3 linked regions of the Ovis aries genome follow. The protein of the gene in region 1 purifies or fractionates together with the protein of each later gene. This does not show direct contact. Links are inferred from orthologs where the notes say so. Each region holds a gene or a part of one and is shown in the gene's direction. Other genes may lie near its edges.

Region 1 (3,737 bases):
TGCCCCCGTGACCATCCGCTACCGCCTGTGGCCGCCGGAGCCGCGCCTCGTGCCCCTGGGTCCCCACGACGCTCTGCTCAGCGGGGTCCTAGAGCTGCAGCCCCACGGGGCGGCCTTCCAGCAGGCACGGCCGGGGCAGGGTGGGGTGGGCGAGGGCCCCGGAGAGCAGGGCCCAACGTGCCCCGGCGCTCACGCCCCCCTCGCCTGGTAGGAGGTGGGCCTGTGGCTGCTCTTCGTGCCCCCGCGGGCCAGGCGTTGCCGCGAGGTGGTGGTCAGGACGCTGAGTGGCAACAGCTGGAGCGACCTAGAGACCTGCCTGGAGGAGGAGGCGCCCACGGTGAGGGTGGCCTGGGCCATCGGGGAGGGCCAGCCCTGACCTGTCCCCCGCCCCAGCCCGCCGGCCCTGACCTGTGCCCCGCACCCATGCCCGCAGCCCTGCCCCAGCCCGCCGCCCCTGACCCATGCCCTGCGCCCACGCCCTCTGGCCCTGACCCGCAGCCCTGCTCCGACCCGCCACCCCGGCCCCGGCCCGCTGACCCTCACCCATGCCCTGCGCCCATGCCCACGCTCCCTGCCGGCCCTGACCTTGTGTTCTGCGCCCACGCCAGCGGCTCTGGGCCCACTGCCAGGTGCCCCACTTCTCCTGGTTCCTCGTGGTTTCGCGCCCTGTGTCCGACGCCCGCCTGGTGCCGCCGGAGGGGACGCTGCTGTGCTCCTCGGGACACGCCGGGGTCAGGGTCACCTTCCCCCCGGGGGCCACCGAGGAGCCGCGGCGCGTCCGCATGCAGGTGGGGGCCGGGACGCCCGCTGGGGTGGCGGAGGCGCCCGGGCGCAGAAGTGACCGCAGGGGCGGCCTGTGTGCTCCAGGTGGTGCACGTGGGCAGCAGAGCGCTGCAGGCCCTGCTCGGGGAGCCCGAGGCGGCCTCCAGCCCCCTGCTCTGCCTCTCGCAGAGCAGCCCCTCGAGCTTCCTCCGGCCAGTCACTGTCCAGCTTCCTCTGCCGCCCGGCGTCACAGGTGAGGGCAGCGGCGCGGCACGGGCGGGGGCGGCGATCAGGAGGGGCGCCCCAGCCAGAGGCCTCCGCCGTTGCACCCCCCAGGCCTGAGTCTGGACCGTGCCCGCCTGCACCTGCTGCATCGGGCTGCCCCCGCGGCCGCCTGGGACGACGTCACGGCGCAGGTGGCCCTGGAGCTCACGCACCTGTACGCACGCTTCCGGGTCACGCGCTTCTCCTGGTCAGTGCCCCCACCTCCTCGGCCCCCTCCCCACAGCCGCCCCCCAGCCTGCAGGGTCCCCCTCACCCCCGCGTTTCCAGGTACTGGCTCTGGTACACCACCAAGGCCTGCGTGGGGAGCCTGGCGCAGAAGGCCTGGGAGCGGCTGCGGCTGCACCGCGTGAACCTCATCGCGCTGCAGAGACGCCGGGACCCCAAGCAGGTCCTGCTGCAGTGCCTGCCCCGCAGCAAGGTGGGGGCGGCGGAGGGCCGGGGGACGGGGCAGGGGCGCAGGGCGTCAGCCTCCCAGCCAGCGGGTCCCTCGCCCCGCAGGTGGACGCCACCCTGCGGCGGCTGCTGGAGCGATACCGCGGCCCTGAGCCCTCGGACACCGTGGAGATGTTTGAGGGCGAGAAGTTCTTCGCCGCCTTCGAGAGGGGAATCGACATCGACGCAGGTGTGGCCGGGCGCCCGGGGGCGGGGCGCTGGGCCTGCGCCCCGCCCCCGCTGAGCCCCCTGTGCCCGCAGACCGCCCCGACTGCGTGGAGGGCAGGCTCTGCTTTGTCTTCTACTCCCACCTGAAGAATTTGAAGGAGGTGTACGTGACCACCGCCCTGGACCGACGGGCTCGGGCCGTGAGGGGCCAGGTGGGCCATGCAGTGGGCGCCCCGGGCTGCCCGGGCCAAAGCCAGAGCGCCGAAGCCCACCTTCTCCTCTTCCCCAGGTGTCCTTCTACCGGGGCGAGGTGCCGGAGGGAGTGCCTGAGGAGGCAGAGGCTGCCCGGCAGAAGAGGGGCCCAGCTGCCCTGTGGATGGCCACTCTGCCCATCAAGCTGCCCGTGAGGCCTGGCTGGGGAGCCCCGTGTGGAGGGGACGGGGGAGGAGCCGCCGGGGTGGGCTGGGGTGAGGCCGGGGCTCACTGCCACCTCGACCTGCCCGCAGAGATTGCGGGGATGCGAGGGCCCGACCCGGGAGCCTGGCCTCTCCCTGGCACCTCTGAACCTGGGCGACGCCGAGACTGGCTTCCTGACCCAGAGCAACCTGCTGAATGTGGCCGGGCGCCTGGGCCCTGACTGGCCAGCTGTGGCCCTGCACCTGGGCCTGCCTTACCGTGAGCTCCAGCGCATCCGGCATGAGTTCCGGTCAGTTCTGAGCCTCTCTCGTCCTGCTGGCTTCCCCCCAGAGGCTGGCTGAGGTTCCGTCCAGGGGAGGGAGGGCAGGGCAGACGGGCAGGAAAGGAAGGGTTTGGCTGCCCCTGGCCCAGGGAGCAAGGCCCCATGCCAGGAGGGAGAGCAAGGCCCTCGGCTCGGCGGGTGGTCTTGGCGGGCCCCCCGACTGCTCCCCTGTCCCCCCAGGGATGACCTGGATGGGCAGGTCCGCCACATGCTCTTCTCCTGGGCGGAGCGCCAGGCTGGGCAGCCGGGGGCCGCGGGGCGCCTCGTGCAGGCTCTGGAGCAGAGTGACCGGCGGGACGTGGCCGAAGAGGTGCGGGCTGTCCTGGAGCTTGGCCGCCGCAAGTACCAAGAGGGCATCCGTCACACGAGCCTGGCCCCCAGGAACCTCGCCTCGCCTGACCGGTCGCCGTCACCTTCCCCAGAGCCTGCCCAGGCTTAGACCCCGGACTTCGGGCTGGACCCTGAGGCTCCCGCTTTCAAACCTGCCCTGCGTGTGAGCAGAGTGACCCCCACCGGTGTAACACACATACACTGCCTGGTCGCTGTCTCAGCACTGACTTTCTCGGGTGGAGAGGCCGGTGGAACGCCAGGGGCGGCCAGGTGATCTGAGGCCCGGCCCTGCTCTGCTGCAAGCGGGCCTGGGTACAGACTTCCTTCCGCACAGCTCTCCTTCCCGCTGGTCTGCGCCCACGGCCTGCACTGGGTCCTGATCTCAGGGAGGGAGTGGAGTCCCAGCTGCAAAGTAACAGCTGCTGCCCCGTGAATACAGTCGTGTGCAGGATGGCGCATCTGCCTTTTGGTTGGGGGCCCGCTTTGGCCAATTCAGTTCCCACGGCTCCTCCCTTAGGGACACTTCGTCCCAGCGCACCCCCATCCGCTGGCCCGACGGAAGTAGTCCCTGGCCGATGCACCGGCGCGAGGTCGAACGGCCAGTGAAAACCCGTGGAGACCTGGAGCGCCGGCTGGCGCCGGGCTGGGGCCTGCCGAGGGCAGTGGCCCGGGCGGCCAGGAGGGGGAGCCGGAGTCCGCGAGCCAACCGCCGGCCGGGGGCGGAGCGCGCGCGGCGCCGAGCGGACGCGCCCCCGCGCTTAGGTGCAGCCGCGCGCGCGGCGAGGCGGGGAGGCCAGCGCGGCGGCAGAGGCGGCGGCAGCGGCGGCAGAGCGCGCGGTGAGTGCCCCCCTGGCGGCTCCTTCCGCTGCGCCCACCCGAGTGCAGCCCGGCCGCGGAGTCGAGGGGCACCACGGCGGCTGTGGGAAGTGACATCTGCCCGGACGAGGCGGTTTCTGCGGGGCCCGCGCCGGCGGATGCTCGGATCCGCTGCCGCCCGAGTGTGGGAGGCCGGGCCCCGGGC
Region 2 (3,643 bases), on another chromosome or scaffold:
AGTTTGTATCACATTGGTATAATTATGCTATTAGATGTATTATAACTTTCCATTGTATAGAGCAAATGCTTAGGAGTGTTACTCATATATGGCAGTCTAGTGCAAGATCAAAAAGATTCTTAAGCTGGACTACAGTGTTTCTTTGGAAAAACAATATTGCTACCCTTCATTAGAAGGCACAGTATGAAGGCAGGTCTTTGCAGTATGTGCCAGGCATAGTGATAAGCCCTTTCTATGCAATATCTCGGGGCTTCCTTGGTGGCTCAATGGTAAAGAACTCACCTGCCAATGCAGGAGACTTGGGTTCGATCCCTAGGTTGGGAAGATTCCCTGGAGAAGGAAATGGCAACCCATTCTAGTGTTCTTGCCTGAGAAATCCCATGGACCGAGGAGTGTGGCGGGTTACAGTCCTTGGGATCACAAAAGAGTCGGACATGACTTAGCCACTAAACAACAGCAGCAATGGATGCAGTGTTTCATTTAATCTTTACAAACTCAGAGAAAATTTACTCTTAATTGTCTTCTTACAAAGTGGATATTAGAACCTGTTCTAATTTATGAACCCAGGGGTTAAACCTAGGTCTCTCTGATCCACCGGCTCATGTGGGTAGTCATGACCCTGTCCAGAGTCCTCTGTAGAGTGTGTTCTTCTGTGAGCAAAAGTATTTTTGTACAGACGTCATCATTGTCCCTGGGAACTTCATTTCTGAGACAGAAAACAGCATAGAAGTACTGCTGTCCTCTATTGTCATGATCCTGTGAGCCCGTGGTCACAGAGCAGTTCTTAACGGCTGTTACTTTCTTGTAAGCGTGTTACTTACTCATTCACAGTTTACCTGGTGGTCCCCTTTGTGCCATTAACGTACAAGGGCACATGCGCTGAAGAAAGAGCTGGTTGATGCCTGGAGAGTGGGTCAAGTTAACTAGCATCTGCATGATTAGCTTCATTAGTAACTTGGCTTCACTCCAGGAGTTCTTCACATGAGCTTGTAATGAGCCTGTGAGTCATTATATTCAGTGTTTCGTCTAAGTGAGTGTTAGTTGCTCAGTCTTTGTGACCCCATGGACTGCAGCCCACGAGGCTCCTGTGTCCATGAGATTTTCCAGGCGTGAATACTGGAGTGGGTTGCCATCTCCTTCTCCAGCGGATCTTCTCGACCCAGGGATTGAACCTGGGTCTCCTGCTAAAGTCATGTAGTTTTCTCGTGCTTACTTAGCTTCTGACTTGGTAGAAGACACGTTTGATTTTCTAATAGCCTAGGGCTTCAGACACCAAAAGGAAGCTTGTATAGGTGCTGACTCTGGGGAGCAACCCTGAAAGGCATCTTTCTCCTAGGAAATGCAAGAGAAACTGCAGAGTTTTGCCCAGCTCCCGGCTCACCGAGTCACTGACTCCTGCATAGTGGCGCTCCTCTCCCACGGCGTGGAGGGCAGCGTCTACGGCGTGGACGGCAAACTGCTCCAGGTGCGTGCCGGTCTGTGGCCACGGCTGGTGAACCTGGGCCACGCCACCTCCTGCTGCCCGTCTCTCCAGGGATGGCCACTATTTGTGTGTACAGGACTCGGGGGTCCCACTGACCACCAACCCCCTCTTCTCCCTTATTTCTCTCCGGCAGCTACAAGAGGTTTTTCGGCTCTTTGACAATGCCAACTGCCCAAGCCTACAGAACAAACCGAAAATGTTCTTCATCCAGGCCTGCCGTGGAGGTGAGTGCCCCGGCGGACCGGCACCTGGGTGTGGCCCCCGGGCAGCCTCCCACCCGCTCTCACTTTCCTATTTGCTCCTCTCAGGTGCTAGCGGACCCCCTGGGCACCTCCTTCTGTTCACTGCTGCCACCGCCTCTCTTGCTCTGTAAGTGTCTCCCGACGCATGGGGTGTGCTGGGACTCGGGCCGCCCCTGGCTCTCAGGTGGTCAGCTCTCTGCGCACCGCCACGTCCGCCCCCAGGACGCTCTCGGCCAGTGCCTTCGCCTTCTTTGAGGACGCTTCCTTTTTCCCTGTGCTTATTAACCCCGGTGCGCTTTTCTCATCGCTCTTTCTGGTTCAGGGTCTGCCAGCTGCTCTGCTTCCTCACCCTCTCACTTGATCCTCTTCCTCTTTTTCTTTCTCTGCCTCTCCTCTCCCTTTCTGCTTTCTCCTCCTCCTCCTCTTCTCCCTCACGCCCCGTTCTCGCCTCCTCTCCTCTCCGGGCCCCTCCTGTGTCGTGCGGGAGAGCAGTGTGGAGGCCCCATGTCAGCCTTTGGCTCCTGCTCTTCTGCGAGCTCCTCCCATCCCTCTTGCATGCACTCTCTTCATCCCTTAAAAAGCCAGGACTCCCTGATTGCGCTCAGAAGACATCGGGTGTGCTTCTCATCACAGAGGGAAAGAGTAATGATTGAAAGCTCTGAACGTGGAGTCAGATTCTGCCTCTGCTACTGACTAGTCATGTGAAGTTATAGAGGAGTTCCTCCATGTCCCTCCACCTTAGTTTCCTCAGTATAAAATGTAGGTAATCACACGTCCTAAGGTCATGTTGTTGTGATGGTTAAGTGAAGTGGTTCCATGAAAGTGGTTCATATTAGCTTAGTGCCTGGCTCATGGTAAATTCACAAAATACCAGCTCTAACTGTTATAACATGGTCTGTGCCCTTAAGAGACTTACAGTTTGATTTAAAGGTCCCTTTTTCCAAAGATTCAAATAGTGTATTTTTTGCATGGGTATAGCAGTATTCTTGCCTGGAGAATCCCATGGACAGAGGAGCCTGGTGGGTAAAGACCACAGGATCACAAAGAATCGGACACAACTGAAGTGACTTAGCACACACGCCTAGCAGAGCACAGCAGTGGAATACCAGGTAGAGCCTTTCAGGGAGAGGAGGAGTGCAGTGTGACAAGCACATCAAGATGAAAAGGATACCCCTTCCCCTGCCCCAAAGCGGGCTGAGCCAGAAGTATGCCTGGTTCTCCATCTGCATCAGTCACGTGTAGTGAGATGTGGCTGACCACATGAGACAGATCCTAGTGATCATAAACCTGCAGCCACAGCTGAGATTTTGGGCTTTCACAGATAATAGTACAGAACTATTGGGAGCACAAGTAAGAAACAATTGGATGATTTTTTTTTTCAGGATGATTACAGGGAGCAGTGCTGAGAAAAAGAGTATGTGTGAGCAGGAACGTCCTCTTTTTGTGTCCCTGCTATATCCCCGGGCCCAGGGCACTGCGTGACACATAGTAGCACGTCATAAATATTGGCTGAGTAGATGGAAATTCAGTTCAGTTCAGTTGCTCAGTCGTGTCTGACTCTTTGCGACCCCATGGACTGCAGCACACCAAACCTCCCTGTCCATCACCAACTCCTGGAGCTTGCTCAAACTCAAGTCCATCAAGTCGGTGATGGCATCAAACCATCTCCTCCTCTGTCGTCCCCTTCTCCTTCTGCCCTCAATCTCTCCCAGCATCAGGGTCTTTTCAGATGAGTCAGCTCTTCGCATCAGGTGGCCAAAGTATTGGAGTTTCAGCTTCAACATCAGTCCTTCCAGTGAACATCCAGGACTGATCTCCTTTAGGATGGACTGGTTGGATCTTCTTGTAGTCCAAGGGACTCTCAAGAATCTCCTCCAACACCACAGTTCAAAAGCATCAATTCTTCGGCGCTCAGCTT
Region 3 (3,743 bases), on another chromosome or scaffold:
GAAATGTGTGAACTTTAGGCAAAAAGTGTTCACAGTTCTGCTACTCCTTGTTACTCAAATGGAACCTCAATAGGTTTGCAATCCACACTTTCCCTCGGATGTGAAATTGTACAAAGGAAAGGGCCTCCCTGGCATTGAGATACGAAGTCACTGACACACAAAAATCTCACACTTGGATCACCACTGCTTTCTGAGAGATTCTGATCAAAAGGGGGAAATGTAAAAAACAAACACACAAAAAACAAATCTCAAAGAGTCAGGAGATAGAAAGGCTGGAGAATCTTTTCTAGCAGAAATCTTTTTTTTTCCCCGGCAATGATTCAGCCCATGAAAAGCAGTGGACTTTTAAAACATCTCTCCAACTTCCTTTTCCCCCATAAAGGTGTCCTCTCCATTTGCATGCAAGTTCCCAGGGTGGCAGACCTCAAATTGCAATTCTTTTCATAATAAACTTGTTTATGCTAGAGAAATAGTTGGCAGTCCATTTATTTTAGGCAGACAATATGTGGTGGCATCTCATTGGTTTTTCACAGTTTCCTAATATCCTATAATATTGAGCATCTTTTCATATACTTACTTGTCATTTGTATCGTGAGAAGTCTGTTGAGATCTTTTGCCTTTTCTCAATTGCATTTTTCCTTCTCTGGCATTTCTAGTATACTTTGGGTAACAGTATTTTATCAGCTATGCTTTCTGCAAATATTTTCTCAGTTTGTGGCATCTCATTACCTCCAGATATCTTTTTATAGTATGTAATCATGCTATATATATAATCAACTTTTCATCATAACACTATAGCAACCATTTCCCATTTTGCTTCAGACTTCCCAACCATCCTCGTATGATGCTGGTTCCTCCGCAGCCCCACAGAAGAGATTATCCCCACTTCACAGGTGAAGGAGATAAATGCCTGGGAGCTTGCTGCCTAGGGTTCCCGCGCTGCTGACCTGCAGAGCTCAGAATCCCCCGGGGAAGCAGCCCATCGTCTCCGGCCCTGCCCGCCGCGCCCGGCAGGTTTCTGTGAGTGGTTTCCGTGACTCGGCATTTCCTCTGTCCTCTCGGCCTCCCAAACCGCTCTGAGAGCACGATCCTCAGTCTGAGCGCGTCCCGGGGTTTCAGAACGGGCCCGGAGACCTTTCCAGACGCGGGGCGGGCGCTCTCCCCACCCTCCTCAGGGGCAGGAGCGGAGGCGGAGCGAGCAGTCCACGCCCTCCGCCGGCCGGGCTCCCTCAGTCGAAGCGCCGGCGGCGCGGACACCGCATCGGTGTCCCGGAGCGCTGACCCCGGAGCGCGGGGCCCCAGCGGGCCCACTCCGCGAGGAGCCCGAGCGCGCCGACCACTGGACAGCACGCGACGGACGGCTGGCCCGCGGAGCCGGGCGCGGTGAGGGCAGGGCAAGGCGGGGCGGTCCCCGCCCGCCTCCCAGCCGACGGCTCCGCCCCGGAGACCCCTAATCGGGCCCGGCGTGCCACCCCGGCCTGCGCCGGCCAGGTACTGCCGGGCGTCGGAGCAACTCTAGGCTGCCCCGCCGCCTCCTTCCTCACCCGGCCTGGGGCCTCAGGAAGTCTCCCGCGAAAGCGAAAGCGAATCTCTCGGTGCGTCAGCGCGGGACCGCCGGGCCCAGACCAGTCTCTGGGGCAGGCTTCCGGCAGGGGGCGGGGCTTCTGCTTCCGGTGGGTGGGGCGGGCGACGCGGCTGCCGGAGTTCGGGCGGTGGGCGTGGCCCGCGGCGTTCCTGAGGTCTGGCGGTGGGCCAGTGGGGTGGTGGGCGTGGCCCGCGAGTTCTCAGAAGGCAGACGGTGGGCCTTTAGGGTGGTGGACGTGGCCCGCGAGTTCCCGGAAGTCAGACGGTGAGCCGGTAGGATGGTGGGCGTGGCCCGCGAGTTCCCGGAAGTCAGATGGTGAGCCAGTAGGAGGGTGGGCGTGGCCCGCGAGCTCCCGGAAGTCGAGCGCCCAACTGCCAGCCGTCGGCGGTCCCTGCGGCGTCTCGTCTCGCCGGGAGTTTGGGTCTGGCGGGACCGGGCAGAGATTTGGCTCCCGCGCGATAACTGCCTGAGGTGGAGACGGCCCGCCACGTGGTTTGCGCTGTGGTGTCAGGGGAGGTGGCCGGTCTTCCCTGCGGTGTCGTTACGAGCTTTCGCCGCCCCGGGTCACGGGGGCGCCGGGGCCGCCGCTGCTCGCGACGCCGTCAGACGCCTTCCCGCGCCGTCTTCGAGGAGAGCTGGGAAAGAAGGGTCGACGGGCACGGCGGGGAGGGCGTCGTCCCCCGGTGGCGCGTGCTTTTACTAAGTGACTGAGCGCGCACACGCTCTCGTAGCCTCTTTAGAGTTTTGAAGAGGGTGAGCGCCACCCTTCTTTGCTCACGCTGGACAGCCTCCCACAGAGGCGGGGTTACTGTTCATTACTTTGTCTCTCGCTGTTCCTTCGGCTCTTCCTTGCTCGGAGCTCTTGCGTGTCCTGGACAAAGCCCGAGGCCCGTTACACTCAAGCGACTTTGCAATAGAACCGCTATTACTTCTCCCTCCATTCACACATGAAGAAATCAAGGCAGGAGTGACTTCTTCCTTGATCTACGTTTTGTAACCATCAGGTACGTAGGTGCAAGAGTGGGGAGGAGATTGTAGTCAATTATAAGTATGGGGAACTGCCCCCTTCTAAACACAAAAGGGAAAGAGGAAGCTTGTTTAAAGCAGTTGAGGTATCTCATCATCGTAATTATTATTACTGGTAAAACAACTATCATGATTAACTGTAATTTGCATGCTTCACTGAGCTGAATTGAGCACCACAGATACATTGCACTTTCAGGATTGTGAATATTCACGAGAATAAAGAAAAATATCCCTAAATAACAGTTTCCAAAATTGAAAATTTCTCTTGGATGCTTATTAATCAACAACATGGTAATACCACCAGTATGAGCTGGGAATTTGAAAAAGCACAGCTTCCCATGCTATGGTTGGACGTTATACTTCGGCAAAAATGATCGTGTTAACCTGTAGAATATTGATTTTGAACCGCATGTTTTCATATGTTTTTAAAATTTAGTCTGTACTTTCCCTATGTTTCTGAATGTAGCATACTTATTTAGTATAGGTGAGCAAAATTGTAAGATTAGGTCTTTGAATCTGATTTTAAGGAAGACAAATTATTGTTTACTCTCTGGAGAAGTAGCATGTGTTACTGAACTGATAGTGGAAATTTGAGTGAAGACATTAAGACTCAATTCTGGGATCTGTTACTCTAGGTGAATCATTAAACTCCAAATTATAGTTTCTCAGTTTGTAACTTGGAACCGATGTATTAATAAGTTGGTACTTCACAGGGTCATCATGTGCAAGATACACTGGGTTGAACTCTTGTAGTTTTCTCTCTTGCTCAGAGCTCTTGTTTATCTGAGGCAAAGCATCAAGCAGTTAAAATCAAAGAACCTTGAGAAATTCCCATTGGATGCCTGAGTAAAAACAGAGTTCCATGTGCAGAGGAAAAGGGGGTCATGATAGTCGGGTAGCCAGCATTTTCTGTCAGACTCCTCATGTATGGTCCTCACTGAAACACTGAAAAAAATCGCCCTCAACCACTTAAAGGTAAATATGAAATTTTTTTAACTTAAAAAAATTATTTATTGTGATACACAGAAAAGAACACACATCATAACTGTTTGACTCTCTTAATTGTCCTGAAGTGAACATTAAGAAGAGACAAGTATCGCCCTCACGCCCGACACTTCCTTCCTTCCCTGCT

The links.
Region 2: the proteins of PIDD1 (region 1) and CASP2 purify together in Homo sapiens (affinity purification with western blotting; 5 studies listed by BioGRID and IntAct, with this or other methods). This does not show direct contact. The link is inferred for Ovis aries from reciprocal best matches to the Homo sapiens genes PIDD1 and CASP2.
Region 3: the proteins of PIDD1 (region 1) and RIPK1 purify together in Homo sapiens (affinity purification with western blotting; 3 studies listed by BioGRID and IntAct, with this or other methods). This does not show direct contact. The link is inferred for Ovis aries from reciprocal best matches to the Homo sapiens genes PIDD1 and RIPK1.

The regions. Positions count from the first base shown.
Region 1 is NC_056074.1:46,946,865-46,950,601, forward strand, and holds the end of PIDD1 (p53-induced death domain-containing protein 1), read left to right. Parts: coding exon 1-124; intron 125-211; coding exon 212-337; intron 338-608; coding exon 609-788; intron 789-867; coding exon 868-1,015; intron 1,016-1,098; coding exon 1,099-1,234; intron 1,235-1,314; coding exon 1,315-1,465; intron 1,466-1,545; coding exon 1,546-1,669; intron 1,670-1,740; coding exon 1,741-1,859; intron 1,860-1,936; coding exon 1,937-2,050; intron 2,051-2,153; coding exon 2,154-2,353; intron 2,354-2,566; coding exon 2,567-2,825; 3' UTR 2,826-3,167; downstream 3,168-3,737. UniProt on the Homo sapiens protein: Component of the DNA damage/stress response pathway that functions downstream of p53/TP53 and can either promote cell survival or apoptosis.
Region 2 is NC_056057.1:107,909,801-107,913,443, forward strand, and holds part of CASP2 (caspase-2), read left to right. Parts: intron 1-1,336; coding exon 1,337-1,465; intron 1,466-1,616; coding exon 1,617-1,707; intron 1,708-1,791; coding exon of another isoform or gene 1,792-1,856; intron 1,857-3,643. UniProt on the Homo sapiens protein: Is a regulator of the cascade of caspases responsible for apoptosis execution. Might function by either activating some proteins required for cell death or inactivating proteins necessary for cell survival.
Region 3 is NC_056073.1:49,697,976-49,701,718, reverse strand, and holds the start of RIPK1 (receptor-interacting serine/threonine-protein kinase 1), read left to right. Parts: upstream 1-1,231; 5' UTR 1,232-1,491; exon of another isoform or gene 1,492-1,662; intron 1,663-1,939; exon of another isoform or gene 1,940-2,589; intron 2,590-3,324; exon of another isoform or gene 3,325-3,586; intron 3,587-3,743. UniProt on the Homo sapiens protein: Serine-threonine kinase which is a key regulator of TNF-mediated apoptosis, necroptosis and inflammatory pathways.